3 linked regions of the Drosophila melanogaster genome follow. The protein of the gene in region 1 purifies or fractionates together with the protein of each later gene. This does not show direct contact. Each region holds a gene or a part of one and is shown in the gene's direction. Other genes may lie near its edges.

Region 1 (8,008 bases):
CTGTTGCAAATGTCGAAAAGGCAACTTGTGGCTGCTGCTTTTCGCCTCTGTCGACGTCGCAGCATCTCTTTTTTCCCGAGCTTTTCCGAGAGCTTTTCCTCGCACCACGGCAAACTGTTGATTGGTCTCCTGGATGTGCGAATGTGTGTGCGTGTCTTTTGGCCAGAAAGAGAGCACAAAAGAGAGTCCATCGTCGACGGCATCGCCGTGCTTTACTTAGTTAATTAGTACCCATTCAGATGGCAGTAAACAGTAGTTAGTTCCTGTTAATGGGCCTTAAAATAAGTCATTCAAAATGGCATTAATAAGTGCACGGAAATGAAGGTGGTAAGTAATTTTAATTTGAATACATACTTATATCTAAAATTTGTCACTAGAAAAAGAAACAAAAATAATTGTTTAAAATAACTTTAACCTTTTGCCCAACATTATATTGTTGAAAAAGGGGGCTAAAAAAGTAATGTTCAAAGTGGTAATAACAGATACCATCCACACCCTCGAAGTCAACCATAATCTCTCGAAATTTGTTTTCCATTCCGTTTATTTGAACCCAGCACAAAGCCATTAAAGCTGATGTTTACCAAAGCAACAGTTACCAATGGCACACAAGTACACAAATTCTGTGGCTGAAAGAAAAGCTCATCGTGGCACTTGCTGCTATTTGGAGACCGCAAATAGACGGCACACTCGCAGAATTAACGCGCTTTTAATAGATTAGAGCCAAGCGACGGCTCTTCAGGGGCACTTCGAATGGTGCAACCGATGATGCCGCTCAAGGACCTGTGCACCCGATCTGCAGATAATGCTAACAACCTGACCGACACCCGCAACCCGTTCCCACCTTGTTATTAGTATCCCCAAGTGGAGCGAGGACACACGTTTGGCAAATTTGCCCAGCCAGAAGGACGACTAATTGATACGCAAGCCCAAGCTGGCACGTAGGAAAATAACAAAAAAAAAACGCAGTTTACACAGCATTATGTTATAATTGTAATTACATACAAGTGCGATAAACTACTAAAGAATTCATTTGCAATAGAATATTCCCTCAATGTTCGAAACAGATAATATTTTTCCCACTGTGTGCGGCTGAAGTAATTTTTCTTCTTTGATACTGCAAAAACAATTACCTGAATACCTGAATGTTTTCGTATGCTGCGCGGCCGCATTAAGCTCACATTAAAATTATCAGGAATAAAGAGCGGCAGGTAAACGAGGCGAGGAAATCAAATTGAATCGTTTACATCATTTAAAGCTACGCCAAGTTCACGGACACGACGGCAACTTTGCGTCCTTGCGGCCATTTTGTTCAATCCTGTGTACCCATACATACACATGGTTGCTTGTTGGGAAAAGCTAAGGGGCCATGTCAACAGACGGTTAACGCTTTACTTCCTCGAAAGGCGTTCGTTGACTTCGCAGCGTAAAATAAGCAAGCTTATGCTGCTTTGTTCTGTTATTTTTCGCGCTTTTCGCAGGGCTAATTAAGGCGTTCGTCCTTCGAAACGGTAATCCTATATATCCTCGATTCAGCGACCCTGTCTTGCAGCATCGCATTACCGACGGATGCACGCGCTTCTGATTATGCCGCATTATTGCTAACGGCGTCATTTAGTCTTAATAGGTATTTTGAAATGTGATTAACGCTCCCGTCCGTGATAAGCGCTTTAACGTGTGCTTATTACAAATTAAATAGTGGTATACTATTTTGGTTTTAGTGCAGAAGGAAGTTCTTAAATTAAATACATTTGAATTTGGCGCTCAAAAAGCAGACTGGTACAAAATTACAGCATCTAACGGTCGCACTTTAGCGAATACATGCACCTATCGTAGCAGGTACCCACTACCTTCCAAGCTAGTTCGCTCTCTCAACCCAAATTGCCATCACTACTAGACAAAATCAATCGATATATGCAGGGGATAGTATAGGAGGTATCGAACAATCATCAACTGAAGTGCCAGCTCTAGCGTTTTGCTTTGGTTGAAAATACAATTAAAAATTGATTCTGAAGTATTTAAATATTCTGCATCGCCAGGTGAGTGCGTGTTGCCAGCATTGGCATATTTTTCGGCCGGAAAAAGGATTCACAGTCCATTCAACCATCGAATTGATGTCCAAAAGTCGGTTTAAAAAGGCGCGTCATGTGCTGGAATCGAAGAAAATGCGTTACAATGCAGCAGTTGCAGTTGTGCACTTTATTTTTTGTGTTTCAATAATTACCAGTAACTAATTAATTTTCTACCTCCCCCACCCACTCTCCACCCATCTCCCTTTTTAGCCATAAAAATCTGCGAAAACCAAACGGTGGCGGCATCGAAAATACCGAAAGAAGCACAAAAAGAAAAATTTGCAAGGCTGCGTCTGTGTTAGTGAGCGTGTGCGAGCGCGCGTGTGTTGCTCTGTGTGCGTGTGTGTGTTGGCGAGTGCGAGTCTTTTGCCTTCAGTGCGTGCGCTGTTTCTCGTGTGGAGCCCAAAGGAAGAAAAACACACAAAAATACAAGGAATCCGCTAAGGAAAAAAGCGTAACCAAAAAGAACATCCAAAACAAACAAGTGCCGCTGCAATGGAGAAGAGAATAGAACTGGAAAGACGCGCACGCAAAGTAAATCAGGTAAGCTAAATACAAACGATGAAAAAAAACACGCGCCACAAACTTAAATTGAGGTCCAAATTAAGTGACGCTTTCGTGTGTGTGTGCATTATCATGTAAATCTAGTTTCAATTTGTTCATAGACGACATACAAAAAGTGCTACGGAAGAAGCAGCAAAGCGGCATCAACAAGAAAAACGAAAAAAAGAAAAGAAATTGATCGCCATAAGCAAATTCTACACACATGCCTCTGTGTGCGTGCGTGTTTGTATGCATGTGACGCCAGTGTTGCCATGTGCGCGCATTTTTGCGCCTTGCCTGCTGTTTGCTCCTTTAGAATGCAGGTTTTGAATTCGTTTACAAGCTATTACGTATTTAATTGCAAGTCCCTGAGTGATTTTACTGCATGGCTGATGGAAAGCGATCTTTTCGGGCCAGACGAGCTAGAGCACTTGGAATTGTATTATCTCCACAGCTGGCAATGCTCCTCGCTTGTTGTTCTTGCTGCTGCTGTTCTCGTCGTAGTTGTTGTTGTGGTTATTGCCGGCCTTCAATTGTGACAAACACGGGCAACATGTGTTTGTGTGTACGTGTGTTTGACTGCATGTTGTAATTTCAGGTTATTTGATACCAAATTGTATCTATAACAATATTATAGCGCGCGCATCATCCGCACAAACACACGCGTACCACGCACAAAAGATACACATGCATACGTAAGACGACTTATGCACAAAATAATCGACACATAGCATACATATCAGTACATCCATCCATACATATGTACATACATATATTGACTGCGCAGTCATAATACTTTTATGCTCCCCTTCTTCTTTTCTTCTTCTAACGTGTTTACCTGCACGCCATCGCCTCTAGCCATCCCGCTCCCGCCCACTCGAAGTGGCAAAGAAATGCAGGCGAAAAGACAAAGCCGCTGATTAATAAACATGCGCTCTGGCTGGCCGGCCAGCCTACTCAATCTCAATCAGCGGTCACCCAACCGCCCAGCCACCCACTGCCCGCCCAAAATGCACCCCACAACAGCGAAGTCAGCAGAAGACAAAAAATAGCAACGTATACACACTCATTCGCGCCTAAGTCAAAGCCAAACGCTGTGTGCATTCATTTCCACTCATTTGCTCAAATACAGTAGACACTCTCTACTGTTAGCTATATTTTAGATCATTTGCATTCCCCACTTTGGTGCTTACTAGATCGATCAATAGATCGAGCACAACCGAATTCTTAGCCGTGAATTTCATACGAACATTTTTTTCATTTCCAATTTTTATAAATTATACCTTTGGGGAAGTGCCACTTTGTTTCCTTTCCAAGAGTTAAATTTTTTGTTTAAACTACACCATATCCATAAAAAGATTCTTAACATAGTTAAATTGATTCCATTACCAAAAACATGATTTTGAAGTTCATCAAACAATAAGTTATTTATATTACAAAGTATATCAAACCGAATACAGATTAGGTTTTGCAGTCAGTTTTTATTTACAATTTTATATTTTCATATTCAATTTTGTTGATAATTATTAAAAATTGTGTTGAGCTACAGTTAATTTTCTTTTAGGATATACCAAGATTCTTGCCACTTAGAAATAAAATAAATTTGAACCATAATTCAGGTTAGAAAGTGTCCGCTGTAAGCACATAACTGTTTCTCGGCTAGACAGAGACGGACAGACGGACTCTGAAGGCACCCATTTTGTTTCTTTGTTGTTGGTTTTGTTGTGGCGTCGTGACATATTGATAATTGGGTAATCTGAAGTGAACTTGCACAGCCTCCAAAAGGCGTACGTTGTGTACATTTATTCATTTGTAGATTATCAGACCACAAAACACCACCCACTCTCACCCCCACCCACTATTCGCAGACAGGCGCAACAACTAAACTACGTCACGGTCAACCATGTTGTTGTTGTTTTGTTGCTGCGAGTGCCGGCTAGTCTTGTTGTTCCCCTGCCATCTCCCTTCCACTTCTTGATAATTCCGTTTTGCTCGTCATTCTTCTCTTTGCGCATTCTGCTTTGTGTCGAAGCACACGCACACATACACACGCTTGTGGCACACACACATATATTGGGGTTACATAAACGCGAGTTGGCACTTTTTCCTCGTCGCCTGCATTACAAAAATATGCAATTTGGCGATGGAGCAGCAGCAATGTTTACCAAGTCATTTGCATTAACGCCAAATTGGTTATTTTGCATGTAATTTCGTTTTGCATTTCAACAAAAAAAAATTTCTCAGCGTTTGATCGATTTTTGCGTATGTATTGTTCTCCATTTTTTTTTTCTGTTCGCTTTGCGTCAAAAAATGTTACAAATGTGACCAGACTGCGAGGCTTGAATATTCCACAATGAATACATCAAATATACCAAAATAATCGGTATCGTTTGTTCTTGTCTTCAATAACTAATATCGATAAGTAATAATTGGTTTAAAAATTATTCAAAACTCGTTTCATATAAATAAAATGAACTACTTCTAATTTATGTATTTACTCTCAACCCTATTATAACCTAGATCACAGAGCTGAATCTGGACAACTGCCGTAGTACAAGCATCGTTGGCCTTACAGATGAATACACAGCCTTGGAATCGCTTAGCTTGATCAACGTGGGTCTCACCACACTGAAAGGTTTCCCCAAGCTGCCCAATTTAAAGAAGCTCGAACTGTCCGACAATCGGATTTCGAGTGGCCTCAACTATCTGACCACTAGCCCCAAACTGCAATATCTCAACTTGTCTGGCAACAAGATAAAGGATCTGGAAACCCTGAAGCCCCTGGAGGAGTTTAAAAATCTGGTTGTTCTGGATTTGTTTAATAACGACGCTACTCAAGTGGATAATTACCGCGAGAAGATCTTCAAGATGTTGCCATCGTTAAATTTCCTAGATGGGTGAGTTTGAGTAACTTCTTTCTATTGTAGAACAATAAAAGTAACTTCTTGACCACTTCCAGATTTGATTGCAACGACGAGGAGGTGCAATCTGATGGCGATGATGATGATGAGGTCAACGGCAACGATTCCGACGAAGTGGGAGGTGTGTATTCGACGTATTTATAGAGACCAAAGATTAAATCGCAGAATTCAGGAGTTTTTTTTTTATAAAAGATTTCCATGTAACCACCATTAAAATTCCATTGTCCGTCTGTTTAACTTAATCGCTTATTGTGAATCGCGCTTTCTTCGTATTAACAATAATATCATATACTCAACCGTGGCTTTTGTCGCCTTTCAGATAAGTGCAATGCATTCTGTTTAAATGGTTTAGAGATCGATTTAGACGAGCTCGAGGCTTTCGAGAAGCGGGTTAAGGCGAAAAAAAGTTTGCAGGACAAACCACCTCCCCAATCGGAGGACAAAGAAGTAGACGAATTAGATGAATACTTGAAAGAGTTGCAGCTAAGGGAATCTACTGATGCTTCAACCGATGAACAATCTGTGATAAATGCCACACCGCAGCCTCCTAGCAATTCTAACTTAAGTTTTGTAATCCTGCTGTATTGGTTCCTTGCCATTTTAAATTTGGGCAGTGCTACATATTGTAAGCATAACGTTTCTGAACTTTTCTTCAGTATTAGTCGAACTTCTCTAACTCGAAAATGCTGCAGAAAAAGTAAAGATTCTCTTACCCACAAGAAGCGTTATAGTAGTTCGTAGGTTTGTTGATCTCAATTCCGTTGAACACATTAAAAAATCGATTTAGGGAAGTTCGAGATGTACAAACAAGCAAGTTGGTTTAATCAAATTTACCTTTGATTTTTCAGTTTCCGACGAAGATGACGACAGCGATGATAGCGACGAAGAGGCGAATGGTGAAGTGTCCCTGTCGGAGGTGTACAATGACGATTTGGAAGAGGATAACTCTGATTGGGAAGGCGAAGACGAGGCTGGCGAGGAGGACGAGGAAGAGGATTCCGATATTGATGATGCCGATGGTGATGCAAACGAATCGGCTGCATCAGTGAATGCCAAGGACAAGGATGGCGAAAAGGAAGCAGGTAAGTTCAATTATTTATATCCCAGACAGCATTAGTTCTTAATGCCATATATTTTCCTTTTTTTCTTTCCAGACGAGTCGCAAGTCAGAGGCAAGAAGAGAAAGCATGATGGTTAAAACCCTGATCTGTCGGTATAGCGTCTTTGTACGTTATAAATTTAAATATACACCCACACACAAAACAAAAACACACACACACATCATATTTTGATAGAAAAAGATGATAAATCCTTTAGGAAACCCACAATTTGTTTCTCTAAAATGTAAGCTAATGAAAGAAGAAATCGACAAAAAGAAAAAACAACAAACAACCCAAACAAAGAGGAGCATAATGAACGTAATAATCAAACAAAGCTAAACAAGAAAAAAATACATGTTTAAGCGAGAAAAATCGAGGAGGAATGCAAAGGAAACCAAGCAAACAACCAATTAAGCAAGTCGCATTAGTATAGCCTCATCCGAGCCCAAGTTCCAGTTTCATTTTAAACACCTTCGCCATCTTCAGGATTCGCAACATGAAATCCAAATCACTATGTTAAAGATTACACAATTACAACGTGTACAATTTTTAGCCATCCAGCAGCATCTTGTTTTCAAATTTCAATCAGTCACGAAAATCAAACAATAGCTTTCCGGCGTTATTTGAACAACTGCGGATTTGTCAACGTTTCGCGTGAAAACGATCACACAATTTACTGCTAAGAACTTTTAACTAACTCTTAAGTCATTCCTTCTTTAAATACGCATAAGTTAAGCATCCTACTTCGCCCACTTTCTGCTCAAGGCGATTTAAACACACTTACATTGTTACCCATCACCCACCTCCCAGATACACAAACTTTATCTCCGCGTCATTCTGTAAACGTAGAGCACTCACTTTTGAGCAACCCGAATTGTTTACCTTTATATACTTTTAAGTGTACTTTTACCACATACCGAAATGTTTCCACTTATTCATTGGCAGTAGTGTTTTCATTAAATGTGGCGAGTAAATCTTATACACAAAACAATTTTAGACAAGACTTTTCATTTAATACACAAGTAATTAACCGATTATTATTAAAGCAGGCCCCGCGTTAATTTAACGAGATGAGATGTGTCTTTACCAGCCCATTGAAACTGAAATACATAAACTACATCATTTTAAAATTGTCTTTTACGGGGGAAAATGGGAAAATGATTTCTATTAAAGAGAAGAGCTTACGCATATGAGCGTATTTTTTTTTATTTAAATCTCGATATCAATAAAGCAACAAATTGTATCGTTATCGGAAATGAGCATGGAAGTTTAGTATTTTCCACAAGAATTTGTAGTATTTGTGTTCTGATATGAAAACTAGAGATATCGATGTTATCGTTAAAGGATTTCCAGCTTTAGCATGGACGGTCACACT
Region 2 (7,835 bases), on another chromosome or scaffold:
TCACACGGAAAGAAATGAAAGCTTATAAATACCATATAGAAACGTATATGTACCATACCATATAGATCCACAACCATGTACCACGGAACTATCGTATCGTAAATAGCAATAGCTGTTAGTTATAGTCAATATGGATAGCTAAACTACCGAATAGCAAAGCCTCAACCGAAGCAAACTTGTTGTACGATTAAGATTGAGCTAGACTTTTAACCAGAGATAATCCAATTTGTAGATATATCGATATATCACATATAAAATGTATGATTGTGTATATTACCGGATAACAAAAGAACTCTTATGATTTCCAGGTCTCGCTTTTCAGTTGATCCTTATTATGAGAACCCCAACTAATATATATCAAATGCCCAAAAACCTTTAATGAATTCAGACCAGACCACAAAAACAACCAACAACCAACTACAACAAAAACAAACTGTGCCACCTAGTACATAACAAGAAATGGTTATATATCTGTATCTGCTATATAGACACTATAACACATACAATTCAACACGAACTTGTACTATACCTAGATATACTACATATATAGAGAGAGAAGGAAACATTCAATGCTCACTTTTATATTTTTTATCATACATCCTTGAATCGAGAAAGCTATTGAAAAGGACGCAGGACGAAGCACCGTAAGAACCACTGAACCACAAAACAATGCAAAACAAAAGAAATCGTACATAGGAAAATTCTCATACCCAAAGAACATATATTTATAGATAGTGTACAAGTTCTATATGCCTAGATATTTGTTCCATTGCTTTTTAGAGCCAATTTGCTTTGCTTGCGAGACAAAATCCCCTGGAAAAAAAAAACCAAAAAACGTACCTACATTCTATTCTGTTCTCCGATCCCATTCAAAATGACAATTAGGAAAGAAAACACCAGGCATAAACGCAAAAGATCGAGCTAAACTAGTGCTTAGTGTTTAATGATAAACAATTCCAATAAAAGTATTTCAGTTGTGTATATTGTAAAGAACAATTATAAATGAACAAATATAAAGTTAAACATTTAAAGAATAATTCAAAAATTTATTGAAACATTAATAAAATAATTGTATTTATCGAAATTAATACAAACCAATTTAAGGCATTAGCATAGCAAAAGATAACGGTATACATAAATTGAAATGAAAATGAACACAAAAAGCGCTGATTTAATATTATATTATTAATTATATTATTGCAAACAACAAAGTGAAAAACAAATGATATTGTCCTTGGTATTTACATATACATAAAGAAAACAGCAAAAAAAAAACAAAAGAAAAATAAAAAGAAAACGTTTTTTTATATAACCGACATAGATATTTTCGACCGCTGATCTGCGTGGCTTTGGATTGTTTGGGGCTATTACTTAAAGATACTTTTAGATTCTAGGAACTACATCAAACTCGAATTCGCTGGCTACACTTTCGTCTATTAATGGAGGATAAAAGATGTAACTTTCAATTCTAGCTAAAAGTACCATGATAGATTTATTTTCGAACTATTTTATTTTCTATTACATTTTACTACTAGTATTTATTTACTATTACGATTTTCTACTAGTATTTATTTACTATTGCAATTTACTGCTAGTATTTATTTACTATTACAATTTTCTACTAGTATTTATTTACTATTACAATTTTATACTATTATTTATTTACCATTACTATATAATTCAAATTATCGCGCCCAAATGGACTCTAATGCGATGAATAATCGACAAATCGATAGGCGCGAGCGAGTTCGAATTCGCAGAGAGAGATGGCAAGATATGCCGCTGTGTGTGTTTATAAGCGAGAACGAAACTTGCTTCGGCAACAATTTCAAACAAGACGTTAAAGGCGACCGTGCCTGCCAGCGACTGTCCAGGAGCACCGATTATCCTGCCAGGACTCCAGTCTCAACACACGGCTCAAAGCTAATTTAAATCAAGTCACTTGCCAGTTCTAAAAGTGCGCGCTTTTCTGCCGATTTTAAATAACTGAGTTAAAAAAAAAAACAAAATAAAATCAAAATATATCTTAAAAATGCCTTTCGCCCACGAGCAACTGAATCTGGTGGCCAGCGAGCAGCTGAGCAAAACGGAGACCATCAAGCTGCGCAACCAGCACATCGGGTAAGTGGCTTCCTTTCGTGGTCCTTACGCCGTTATCCTCGCTCGTATTCGTAATCCCTGGTCCGGGTCGTGAGCCTGCGACCTTGCCTTGAATTCGCTCTGGCTGTCAAGGTCAGGCGGCATCCCCCACTCGGCCCACTCATCGCCAGCCCTCTCTTTCGCTCGCATTGGACGGCTGGCCGCCCGATTTTCTTGTACTTTTGTATTTTTGGCACTGTTGCCAACAGCCGCCACCGCCACCCAAGGAAATAATATAACAAAAAAAGTGCACAAAAAAAAGCAGGAAAAAAGTCGTGCAACAGCGGCGCTTTTTTAGATTTGGGCCATATTGATTTTTTATCGCCTGACTGCATAAAAATATTTATAAAACCAATTTGGAAATTTTATAAAAATAAATTCAAAGGGCCTGCTAGGCAGAGTGTTCGCACTTGATAATCACGTTCAATATACATTTCACATTTGTTCTCGCTTACATATATATTGTAATCTAAATTGACTGAAAAATATCAATCCAAATTTTCCATTTTGTGGAATATTTTAAAAAAGAACAAAGGCTAGGTAGCTTGTGAAATGAATTACAAATTGCTAGCAATAAATCGAGAAATTCGAAAACAAAAGGGGCCTGTTTTTTATGACTCTGAACTTTTACAAAATACGTCAGTTCGGTTTTATCACTTTCATGTTTCCAAATTATTGGCGAACAATTATTGATTTACCATATTAAACTAAATATGGATCAGGCTAAATTCAAGTAGCTAATAATTATGATTTTCAAATGGTTAGGATGCAGTTCGGATCAAAGTGCATTTTTTGTCCCCATTAAATTGTTAGCAGCTGCGTTCCCGCTCTCTTTGTTTGCCTAAAGTCAACCCTAAAATGTTTATCAAACACAGCAAGACGCCTTGTTTTTGTCTAACAAACACAAACACAATAACCATTAAACACGGCAGTGGGAACAGTGATTATCTTGGTGATAATGAGTACTACTCACTACTCTGTCGTATATTTGTGAACTGTTGAAATAGGCCCCGGTTAATAGTATAACTATCGTCACATATACGTCTTTGCCTTTTACATTGTCTGGATTTTATGACTTCACTTAGCTTAGCTAGCAACTTTGCCATCCACCTAATTAACCTACTTAATAACTTGCATTTTTTTCTGCAGACAAGCCTGCCAGCTCTTCTATCGCTCTGATCCCCTGAAAATTGTGCGCGGTCAAGGTCAATATATGTTTGATGAGGAGGGCACCCGGTATCTGGACTGCATCAACAATGTAGCCCACGGTAAGTCAATCTATCAAAACTAAATTTGAAAAATATGTAAAAATTTGTAGGACTACAGAATGCGTAAGATCAATAGATCAAAAAACCAGCTCTTATATGTAATAGATCCTATTATTCATCTCGAAAATATTGTTAATTAGGTGAAAAGATGAAGAAAACGGTGGTGTAGGGCGCAGAAAATGATAATTTCGTCGCCATTTCTGCAATAAAAAATTGTTATAATAAAGTAGGGGTGCCATTAAGTACGTTGCTAGGTCATGTTTTGCGATTTTGGAACCGGGGCCTGATGACGATTATTTTGGACCTCCCGTCCGGACGTCGACACTTGGTCGTTGACGGATCCTATTTCTGTTTATGCTGATTAGCAGTGGCACACGCCCGTCAAATGGCCAATGTACGGATGCAAAGTGCATGTGGCACTGCGGCTATTTGGAGCGTTTGGCAACGCAAGTTCAAGGTTGAGTGCTCAACTAGATATATATAGATATAGAATGAGTGATTAACACAGCACTGCCATCAAGACAATCACAATAATAACAAATGGCCAGGGACCGCATTTGCGTAAAATATACAATACGTATTACGTACACATACATATATATGTATATATATATCACCGAGGGGGTCCCAGTCAAATCCAGACCATCCAAACCATATCAACTTATCAACAACGGTGGCCCAACGACAATAACAAAAAAACAACGAAGATTGACGTCGGCAACCAATTTGCCAATTTGCTGATTCTGGGATCTAGGTAGCTCACATTGTTTGCGTCTTGTTTGTAATTGTCCAAAACACTTCCTGCTACGGAAAATTTTCCATTTACAAGGTTTTGTTGGCAGCAATTTTCCTAGCCTAAAATCACTATTAATTATAACTTTATATGTGTAAAGTTATATTACATGCCCTTAAATAATACTTAAAACATATATAGTAATAAATAGTTATTTTCAGGGCTTTCTATTTCTGAAAAGCTGCCCTTCTATAAAATTAGTTTTTCCTTTTGTATTAACGCTTGCCGCACTGATAAGATGAGGCCATTGGCATTGCGAATGTACTGAATATAGATGAAATAGATTTGACAACCCAATGAGATTTGATAACGTCGACTGTAGCGCTTATTAATAGCTTTCCTTTTGGTTAATTGCCACCTAAGGGGGCTCATCAACAGGGTCGAAAACAATATTCCAATAAGGGTTATCATCGAAGGGTGCAAAAAGGTAAAGCTGTTTACAGTTCAGAGATAGTCAACTGATTGTGTTTGCACCATCAACTGATCAATAAATCAATCAATAGATGTTGTCCCTTTATATCAAAACACTTTCAAAAACTTGGTGATGGATATTGGGATTATTTATAGTGCTCCCCCATTTAATGACCCACTTAGACGGTTGCACATTTCGTAGACGATCGCAAAACTCAATCAACCTCGGAACAAGTCTTACGATCTTCATACGACTGATAGTTAGCCCTTTCACATTCAGAACGTAATATTGGGTCCGTGCAGAGGCACGTAACTTACGGCTATGCCCATAAGTCATCAATAACAAAGTGTGAAATCAGTCCTCAAGCAAACATGTAGCACTATAACCATGATAAGGTGGCGGGGGCACGTGTGGACGATCTGACGATCTGAATAACAAGTTGTTATGAAACTAGAAACCACGTTCCTCGTAATCTCGTGCTACTTTTTCCACTCCGGGTGTCCAACAGGCCGCAACATGTGAACGTCTCGTGCGAGTGGAAATGTACTCGAGATAGGCGGTCGGGCACAGTACGAAAAAAGGGGGCGGGGCTGCCCCGGGGTGAGCACACAAGGCGTACAGTCGTGCAGCCCATATGTCCGTACGTAGTCTAGTTTTTCAATATTTGTGCTCGTAGTGCCCCAACCCCACGAGATCTGAGCAATCAGCTGTGCCACTCAGCACACATTGCGAGTGGAAAATTCTGAGCAGATAGTCGGAAAAACACCCCGAGCCATGGGCCTGCGGGCTGTGAAAAGTCGTACAAACAGGCGATATAAAGAGAAGAGCAAGTGGAAGTGTAAGCATGTCATAGCGACCACTTGTAGATTGTCGACAATGTCGCGAAAAACTAAGAAAATTTGCTGATCGCGAAAGAGGAAAACAAGTGGGTGGGCTTGTTATGAATTATAGAAGATGAAGAGCATATTAATAATATTCATCACTTAAAGTATACGATCTAGAACGAGCCCTAACTGAAGTTTTTCAATATAGCTAGTGATGAAGTTATTTGAATACACATTGAGATATGCTTAGTAACGCTCTTTCAAAACAGTTTCTAAAAATGCTAGTTTTTCCCAGCATAACTGTACTTCTATTCCCTCGACATAATTAAAAACCAAAGTGCAGAGATTCCCCCATGGTCATTTCGATCATTCCAAACCTAATCAGCAAGCGTATGAAACAGAAACAGTCAGTCTATTATACACCATTTAATTTCATACCACTGATATGGAAACTAGAAACGTGAAGGCATCGCGTGAACTTCACGTGATACCTGCCTCGCAGAACACTACGTCTTATCGGGGGCGTGTGTGAGTCCAAGTCCAAATGATTCTAATGCGAGTACGAGACGAAATTAGAAACGCAATCGGAACGAGTAGTTGACCCCCAAACGTCGCAATCTGTCGCCGTCGACGGGAGCGGAGTGGTCCGGGTCCCGGGGCTTATCGCCCATCCGTCGGCGCCTACGGAATAGCGATACACTTACGGATGGCGACGCCGAGCCCAATGGATCCGGGCCTGTCTGAAAGCGTTTTATTTTCGGTATCGTGGCAGATTGCCCTGCTTATATGTGAAGCGCTGCACAAACGATCGGGCAAGCAAGTGGTTAGGGGAAAATCACGTGCGCGACTTGCCTAATTTTAGCCACACCCTCAGTACAAGCTTATCACTATTGGGTTGATCTATCTATAAATTTGATCTAATAATCTCGTTGGGTCAGTAGCGCTAATTGAAAGCTTTATTTTTGGGTTTATTTCTCCATCGTGAGTTAGCAATTTGATTAGTTAAAGAGGGTGCCTGGTATTCAGTTATACAATATGGTTATCTATTTTACTTTTATTAATACTTGCTAACAATTTAAATATATTTATTTAAAAACTATACAATAATTATAAATTTGACCTCAATCTTTGCAGTGGGTCATTGCCATCCGGAGGTGGTGCGAGCTGGAGCCCTGCAGATGGCCACCATCTCGACGAACAACCGCTTCCTCCACGACGAACTGGTCCAGTGTGCTCGCACGTTGACCAGCAAAATGCCGGAGCCTCTGTCCGTTTGCTTCTTCGTCAATTCCGGATCCGAGGCCAATGACCTGGCCCTTCGATTGGCCCGCAACTTTACTAAGCGTCAGGATGTTATCACTCTCGACCAGTAAGTTTCTTCTGTTTGATTCTAGAGATTAAATTTGCTTGAAAAAATGATTTTGGCTTGCTTAATATTTATTTTGAACACCTATGGAAAAATATGCTAATTTCTTTTATTTCGTTACAGTGCCTATCATGGTCATCTGCAGTCGGTGATGGAGGTGTCTCCATACAAATTTAACCAGCCCGGCGGCGAGGCCAAGCCCGACTACGTGCATGTGGCGCCGTGCCCGGACGTTTATGGCGGAAAGTTTACGGACAAGATGTATCCGGATGCTGACATGGGTGCCCTGTATGCTCAGCCCATCGAGGAGATCTGCCAGAAGCAGTTGGCCAAAGGACAGGGCGTCGCCGCCTTCATTGCCGAGAGTCTGCAGAGTTGCGGTGGACAGATTTTGCCACCAGCCGGATACTTCCAGGCAGTCTACGATGCGGTACGCTCTGCCGGAGGCGTTTGCATTGCTGACGAGGTTCAGGTGGGATTTGGACGCGTGGGCAGCCACTATTGGGCATTCGAGACCCAAAACGTAATCCCCGATATTGTGTGTGTGGCCAAGCCCATGGGCAATGGACATCCGGTGGGTGCGGTAGTTACCACTCCGGAAATCGCTCAGGCCTTCCATGCCACCGGAGTTGCTTACTTTAACACTTATGGCGGCAATCCGGTCTCCTGTGCGATCGCCAATGCAGTGATGCGCGTTATCGAGGAGGAGGGTCTGCAACAGAAGGCTCTTGTTTTGGGCGATTATCTTTTGGAGGAGTGCAATCGTCTGAAGCAAGAATTCGAGTGCATTGGCGATGTGCGAGGCGCTGGACTCTTCGTGGGCATAGAGCTGGTCCAGGATCGGAAGGAGCGTATTCCCGACAAGAAGGCTGCCCACTGGGTGGTCAACCGGATGAAGCAGCTCCACCGGGTGCTCGTTTCCTCCGACGGTCCCAACGATAACGTGATCAAGCTAAAGCCACCCATGTGCTTCAACCGGGAGAATGCAGATGAATTCCTGCTGGGATTCCGGGAGTGCTTGACCGCCGTGATG
Region 3 (6,260 bases), on another chromosome or scaffold:
ATTTCAAATATACATTGATTTCCTTTTAAATCTGCTTGATTTAAGTAGTCATTTTAAATTAACTTTATTTACTTTAATTTGGCGTAAATAATTTTAATTTAGTTATTAAAACAACACATAATTATCATCGGAGATTTATGCAAACTCCAAACAACCTGTTGCTACCCTGCAACAAAGTCATGCTTTGACCAGTGTTGAAAAACGCAGCTCCACAGCTGTTTTGCCAAGTTCTTAATTATATTTTTGTTTGCTTATTTTGCGCTTTTGTTTTTCTTTTGCTTGCAATTATTATGTTTATTTGGCATTACTTGACCCTCTTGTGCCTTGGGTTCGCCCTCATCGATGCGAAATCCATCAAGAAGTCGCAGGCCAATCTGTTGGAGCCAACTCTTGATCCTGATGAGAAGCTAGGGAAGATTGGGAAGTCCCCACCCGACATTTCCAATGATGTGCAACGTGTGCAGGTTCCATTAGGTGCGACGCCCGGCAAGAATGGCTGGCAGGGCAAGTGGTTTCCCCATGCCCCTGGACAACAGCAGGAAGCGATTGAATTAAAAATGAAGAGCACCACGGAGGAAGTTCCTCCGCTGGAGTTCACAACCAAGGATGGCTGGCAGGGCAAGTGGTTTCCACAAGCTCCCGGAGAGCCGCACTTGGTGAAGAAAAAACCGCTGGTCGATAACAAAACCAAGTCGGGGAAGTCCACCACACAGGATACTTGGCAGGGTAAATTGTTTCCGCAGGGTCCCAATGAATCGCACAAGACTAAACAAAGCAGCTGTGATGATGGCAAGGTGAGTTTGGCAATATAACTAATACTTCCCCTAAATACCGATGAATGCTTAGTATTAGTCATCTTTTTCTATCATTGTTATTAACAATTTTCAGAGCAATCTTGCCGTGGACTTCGATCCAAACGACATCCGTGACAGCCTGAATTTCCTATGCATCAGTAGTAATCACAGCTTGTACCAACCGGATTTGTCCAGAGAAGCCATTCTTACGGAGCACTTTCTACCTAGCGCCTATCTGCCGCCTGCCAAGTGCCTTAATGAGTCCATTAGCTACTCCCATCTGCCTGCCACCAAGTAAGGCGAACAATATTATAGTTTCCTGCTAATTTCAAATTCAAATCTGTATTATCAGTGGCCCCTATCGCCCGATGCCCGCTGAATATGGCACCTATTCCTACTTGCCTCCTCAGCGATACGTGCGTAATCTGGCGGAAGGTGCCATCGTAATGCTCTACCATCCCTGCGCTTTTCCCGGCCAAGTGAAGCAGCTGCAAGACATCGTGGGTGGCTGTCTGTATCGCCATCTGGTGTCACCCTCGCTGGCTCTGAGTCCGCAGCGACCGCTGGCCCTGCTCGCCTGGAGTCGCAGCCTCGAGATGTCCGTCGTGGATCGACAACTGGCGGCGGACTTCATCCAGAAACACGCCAAGCAAGGACCACTTGCACCGGAGGAATTGTCGCGTTTGATTGTCAAGAGACAGACCTACAAGGAGGGCCTTCTTAGGGAAGCGCACTTGGTCAACACGGCGGACGACTACGAGCTGTGCGGCTACCTACAGGAGGATATGTAGGCCAAATGTGTTAACTATTTGTTTTTAATAAACCTCGAATACTTTGCCAATTTCTTTTTGACTCATTAAATTATCCAGCTACCAGATTTAAAAGACTTGCAGCTGAGGAGTTGTAAATCACACTTTATTTACTTTGCTCATTAAAAAATAAACACATAATTAATGGTAAGAAATTATAAAAATTAATTTTTAGACGATTTCAGTTAAAAAGTCGTTACTTTGGCCTTTCTTCAGTGGGAACTTACCACACTTGCAGAATAGCACTAACGCCTTCTGCTTTTGGTATTTTCGCGTGTCTCGCTTACTGTCCTCGGTTCGGTTTAGTTCTCTTTTCTCCGGATAAAATCAAATTCAATAAGCGATCGCCAAACGATCCCCCACTTGGTCGCCACACAAACAACGTCGCCCGAAAGCCGACGGCTGCATCATCATCCCCTCTCCGGAAACTCCCATCAAGCCCCGGATCCAAAGTGTAGCCCCCCATTCGCAAAAGAAGAAGAAGAACAAAAACAATAGTGGAGAGGTGAAACAAAGGAGACTCGCACTAAAAACAATTAATTTAGCAATTTGTGGTCTCCACAACGTCGATAAATCACGTGATTGTGCAGTTCGTATAGACCCAGGCCACACCACTAGCCATTTGCAGCGCATCCTGCTTGGATTTCAGACTTTACATAACATCCAAGGCGCCCATTCAAAGGAGCAGCGGAAAAGGATTGCAAGCTCTGGAGTCGCAGAAGGTGGAACACTAGGAGCTAGAGCAAGGAGCCAATTTAAGGGATAGTAAGGAAATCCCCAGATTACCCTCTACTTCCACCATGAACAACCTGGCAGACACTGTGGTAGTTGATCCTGGATTCGGAGGCGGCGACAAGCAGCAGCAGGCTGGACCGGCGCCGCAGGATGCCAGCGTGGTGGTTCCTCCGCCGGCCACCAAGCAGTCCTCGGCTCTGAAGAAGACAAGTCGGTACAGGAGCCGCTCGCTTAGTGCCTCCTCAACGGATTCCTTCAGCTCCGCCAGCTACACGGGCAGCAGCGAGGATGGCGACGACGTGCCGCCCAGGGAGAAGGTCCAAAAGAACTCCAAAGGCAGCTCCGATTTCTGTGTAAGGAACATAGGCGCCCAGCATGCATTTGGGCGCAGGGAGATCGAGATTGCGGAGCAGGAGATGCCGGGCATCATAGCGCTGAAGAAGCGGGCGGCCGAGGACAAGCCTCTGAAGGATGCCAAGATCGTGGGTTGCACACACATCAACGCCCAGACTGCCGTGCTCATCGAGACGCTGGTGGAACTGGGCGCCAGCGTGCGCTGGGCCGCCTGCAACATCTACTCCACGCAGGTGAGATGTCGTATGAAAATGTCATAGGGTTCTTACGTATTCATAGGCTGCTTAATGCATTTAATGGAATCTCTTAAGAGATATCTTAACTCATTTTCCTATATTTATTTAAATTCATATGCATATGCGTGCTCGGTCACTTGATCTGCTCGGTCGCTTGGAGACAATTGTTGTCACGCCAGGCGACGCAAACAAATGATCAATCAAGCCATGTTAATCAATTAAGCGCCCGCGGCTCAAGTGTTTGGCAATCGCTGAGTAATTGATGTGCCCTGAATTGGGTCGCCATACCATTGGGAGTGGAAGTTACGGACGCAGTTTTAGTTCCAGCATTGGATCGGCTGCGGTTACTCGATCTGTTTGCCTATTCCTGCGGCGTGGCTGATGCAATTATCACGAGTCTGCTGACGCTAAACAATTTATGGCTTCTCTAATGAAGCGATGCGAGTGCGAGGGCGAGCGCCCTTCCCCGATCATTTATGCACCCATCCGTGCCAGCTTTTATCGCCCACGGCCCCCGACAGCCTGTCACGCTGATTCACCTGTATCGGCTGGGACTTATCAGCCAAGCTACGAGTGCCGTGCTTAGCGAGAATGGAGCCCGATGCGTTATCAGCTCGATATAAGTCAGATATTAGCAAATGTTTACGCCGCATTAGGGTGACTCGATTTATCAGGCCAACTCTCGAGGGTTTTACCTGTTTGACAATCATTTTATTAGCCTTCAAGGACTGTCATTATTAAAACAACTCAATATCGTTGCTTATTATTTTTAGAACGAAGTGGCTGCTGCTTTGGCCGAATCCGGAATCCCGATCTTTGCCTGGCGCGGCGAGACGGAAGAGGACTTCTGGTGGTGCATAGATCGCTGCGTTAACGCCGAGAACTGGCAGCCAAACATGATCCTGGACGATGGCGGCGATGCCACGCACTTGATGCTAAAAAAGTACCCGACCATGTTCAAGTTGGTCAAGGGAATCGTCGAGGAGAGCGTCACCGGAGTGCACCGTCTCTATCAGCTCTCTAAGGCCGGCAAGCTGACAGTGCCGGCGATGAATGTCAACGATTCGGTGACAAAGACCAAATTTGACAACCTCTACAGCTGCAAGGAATCCATCCTGGACAGCCTCAAGCGCTCCACGGACGTGATGTTCGGTGGCAAGCAGGTCGTGGTCTGTGGCTACGGCGATGTGGGCAAGGGATGTGCTCAGGCTCTAAAGGGGCAGGTAAATGGCACCCACAACCATTAGTATGATATACCTTTGTCACCTTTTCAATCTCCAATCGTAGGGCTGCATTGTGTACATCACAGAGATCGATCCCATTTGCGCCCTGCAGGCCAGTATGGATGGCTTCCGTGTGGTCAAGCTGAACGAGGTGATCCGCAACGTAGACATTGTGGTGACGGCGACCGGCAACAAGAACGTGGTGGTGCGCGAGCACATGGACAAGATGAAGAGTGGCTGCATCGTATGCAACATGGGCCACTCGAACACGGAAATCGATGTGAATGGCCTGCGCACACCGGACTTGACCTGGGAGAAGGTGCGCTCCCAGGTGGATCACATTATCTGGCCGGAGGGCAAGTACATCATTCTTCTGGCCGAGGGCAGGCTGGTCAATCTGAGCTGCTCCAGCATCCCCTCGTTCGCCGTGTCTATCACCTCGGCCACCCAGGCCCTGGCCCTGATCGAGCTTTTCAATGCCCCGCCCGGACGCTACAAGTCGGATGTCTACTTGCTGCCCAAGAAGATGGACGAGTATGTTGCCAGCCTGCACCTGCCCACCTTCGATGCCCATTTGACGGAGCTGAGCGACGAGCAGGCCAAGTACATGGGACTGAACAAGGCCGGTCCTTTCAAGCCCAACTACTACCGCTACTAGGACGCAAGGCGGGCGGATGCGGACAATAACACCAGCAATTAGAAGAAACAACAACGCCAACGAAAGTATTGTCTTTGCGAAGAAGTAAAACTATTTAAAACAATTGTTGACACACACACACACGGAAAACACAAAAGGATACGGAAAGGAGAACACAAAGTTACTATTACCATTGTATTGCTTAGTTTAGCTCGAGCGGAATTCTTGGTTGCTTTTCGTTAGCATTTAAAGTCTTCGACATAGTATTTAGCACTCGCTTTAGCCGCAGGAGTATTCTCTCCGTTCACCTATCCAACATGACTCTCTAATCCCCAAAACTAATCTTGCCCCAAGAATTTATCCCCATCAACATTTTTTGTAGCCAGTTACTTGAATTTATTTTAAATACTTCGAACGCCTGTCAATCAGACTGCAGTAGCTCAAAAGACGCGATTAGTTCTCTAAATGTATACTTCTAATTCGGAATTGATAATATATTTAATGGGAATTGACTTGTATAATGGTTTCTAGCATATTTGCATTACATTTCTATAACTTTTTCGCGTGAAATCCATGTACATTTTAATGTTAACGACTTTCCTGACTAATCCCTTTTTTGAGCTACGACAGCTGGGCAATAAGTGATCGATTTAACCTCTCGTATTGTTTACGTACTTAATTTGTTAATGTTTATGGCCCCCGCTTATGATTATGATTATACTTTTGTACTTTCGTTTCGTCCCGAGAGCGTTAATGGAACAGCAGTGCAAGGTATTCCATTTATTCAATTATATACACGCTGGCATATATATCAGATCGAGAATTATATATATATATACACTGCATATACACCTAATATGTATATTAGAAAAAGTGAAAAATGTTTGTAAGAAATTTGTGAGAAACGCAAAACAATAAAAAAGGGATTCTTTATTGAGCAATTAGATCTGTTCCACTGATTGATTTCTCCCCCAGCAGCCCCGTCGAAATGAAAACCAGGAAAAGTTGCTTTCGTATTTTTCAGATGCATCACTCGTCTATTTCTCTTTTTATTACTCGGTACTTGCCTTAAACTTGTTATGTTTTTCTTTGATATTTTATAAAATGTAAACTACACGAGTTTGTCATAAAAAAAATCATACACATTATGTATTATAATCGATTTTTTTTTTGTAATTTTCCGTTCATCTGAACTATTCCTAAAATGCCGTAAAGTGCATAATGTGCAAACCCGTCCTAATTAGGGTAATGCTAAACACATGCGTCAACTAAATCTTAATCAAAGGTTGTGGAACAAACAAATCCAGGCGGAGCCGAAAGTTACAGGGGATTGGTAAACCAGGCTGGCGGAGAGGCATACACATATATTTGCATCTGGAGAGGATCGGAGGGCGGATCTGATCTAATCGAGAAAGTGCGGCTTGAGATGCTTCAGCATGCCAAAGGTGCGGAAGCGGCGGATCTTCATCACC

Evidence for each region.
Region 2: the proteins of Mapmodulin (region 1) and CG8745 purify together in Drosophila melanogaster (affinity purification with mass spectrometry, with the first as the bait; one large-scale study listed by BioGRID). This does not show direct contact.
Region 3: the proteins of Mapmodulin (region 1) and AhcyL1 purify together in Drosophila melanogaster (affinity purification with mass spectrometry, with the first as the bait; one large-scale study listed by BioGRID). This does not show direct contact.

The regions. Positions count from the first base shown.
Region 1 is NT_033778.4:17,865,933-17,873,940, reverse strand, and holds Mapmodulin (mapmodulin), read left to right. Parts: upstream 1-1,925; 5' UTR 1,926-2,036; intron 2,037-2,279; 5' UTR 2,280-2,564; coding exon 2,565-2,612; intron 2,613-4,083; exon of another isoform or gene 4,084-4,914; intron 4,915-5,132; coding exon 5,133-5,509; intron 5,510-5,571; coding exon 5,572-5,654; intron 5,655-5,852; coding exon 5,853-6,158; intron 6,159-6,381; coding exon 6,382-6,615; intron 6,616-6,687; coding exon 6,688-6,731; 3' UTR 6,732-7,622; downstream 7,623-8,008. UniProt on the Drosophila melanogaster protein: Implicated in a number of cellular processes, including proliferation, differentiation, caspase-dependent and caspase-independent apoptosis, suppression of transformation (tumor suppressor), inhibition of protein phosphatase 2A, regulation of mRNA trafficking and stability, and inhibition of acetyltransferases as part of the INHAT (inhibitor of histone acetyltransferases) complex.
Region 2 is NT_037436.4:13,860,889-13,868,723, reverse strand, and holds the start of CG8745 (uncharacterized protein), read left to right. Parts: upstream 1-1,818; 5' UTR 1,819-2,032; coding exon 2,033-2,121; intron 2,122-3,288; coding exon 3,289-3,407; intron 3,408-6,570; coding exon 6,571-6,805; intron 6,806-6,925; coding exon 6,926-7,835.
Region 3 is NT_037436.4:2,767,933-2,774,192, reverse strand, and holds AhcyL1 (adenosylhomocysteinase like 1), read left to right. Parts: upstream 1-1,867; 5' UTR 1,868-2,403; coding exon 2,404-2,925; intron 2,926-3,701; coding exon 3,702-4,151; intron 4,152-4,215; coding exon 4,216-4,809; 3' UTR 4,810-5,727; downstream 5,728-6,260. Other genes in the region: CG12093 (uncharacterized protein), read left to right, coding at 291-794, 889-1,088, 1,147-1,585; Non2 (putative nucleolar protein 2), read right to left, coding at 6,191-6,260. UniProt on the Drosophila melanogaster protein: Might play a role in the regulation of methionine metabolism possibly by binding and inactivating Ahcy.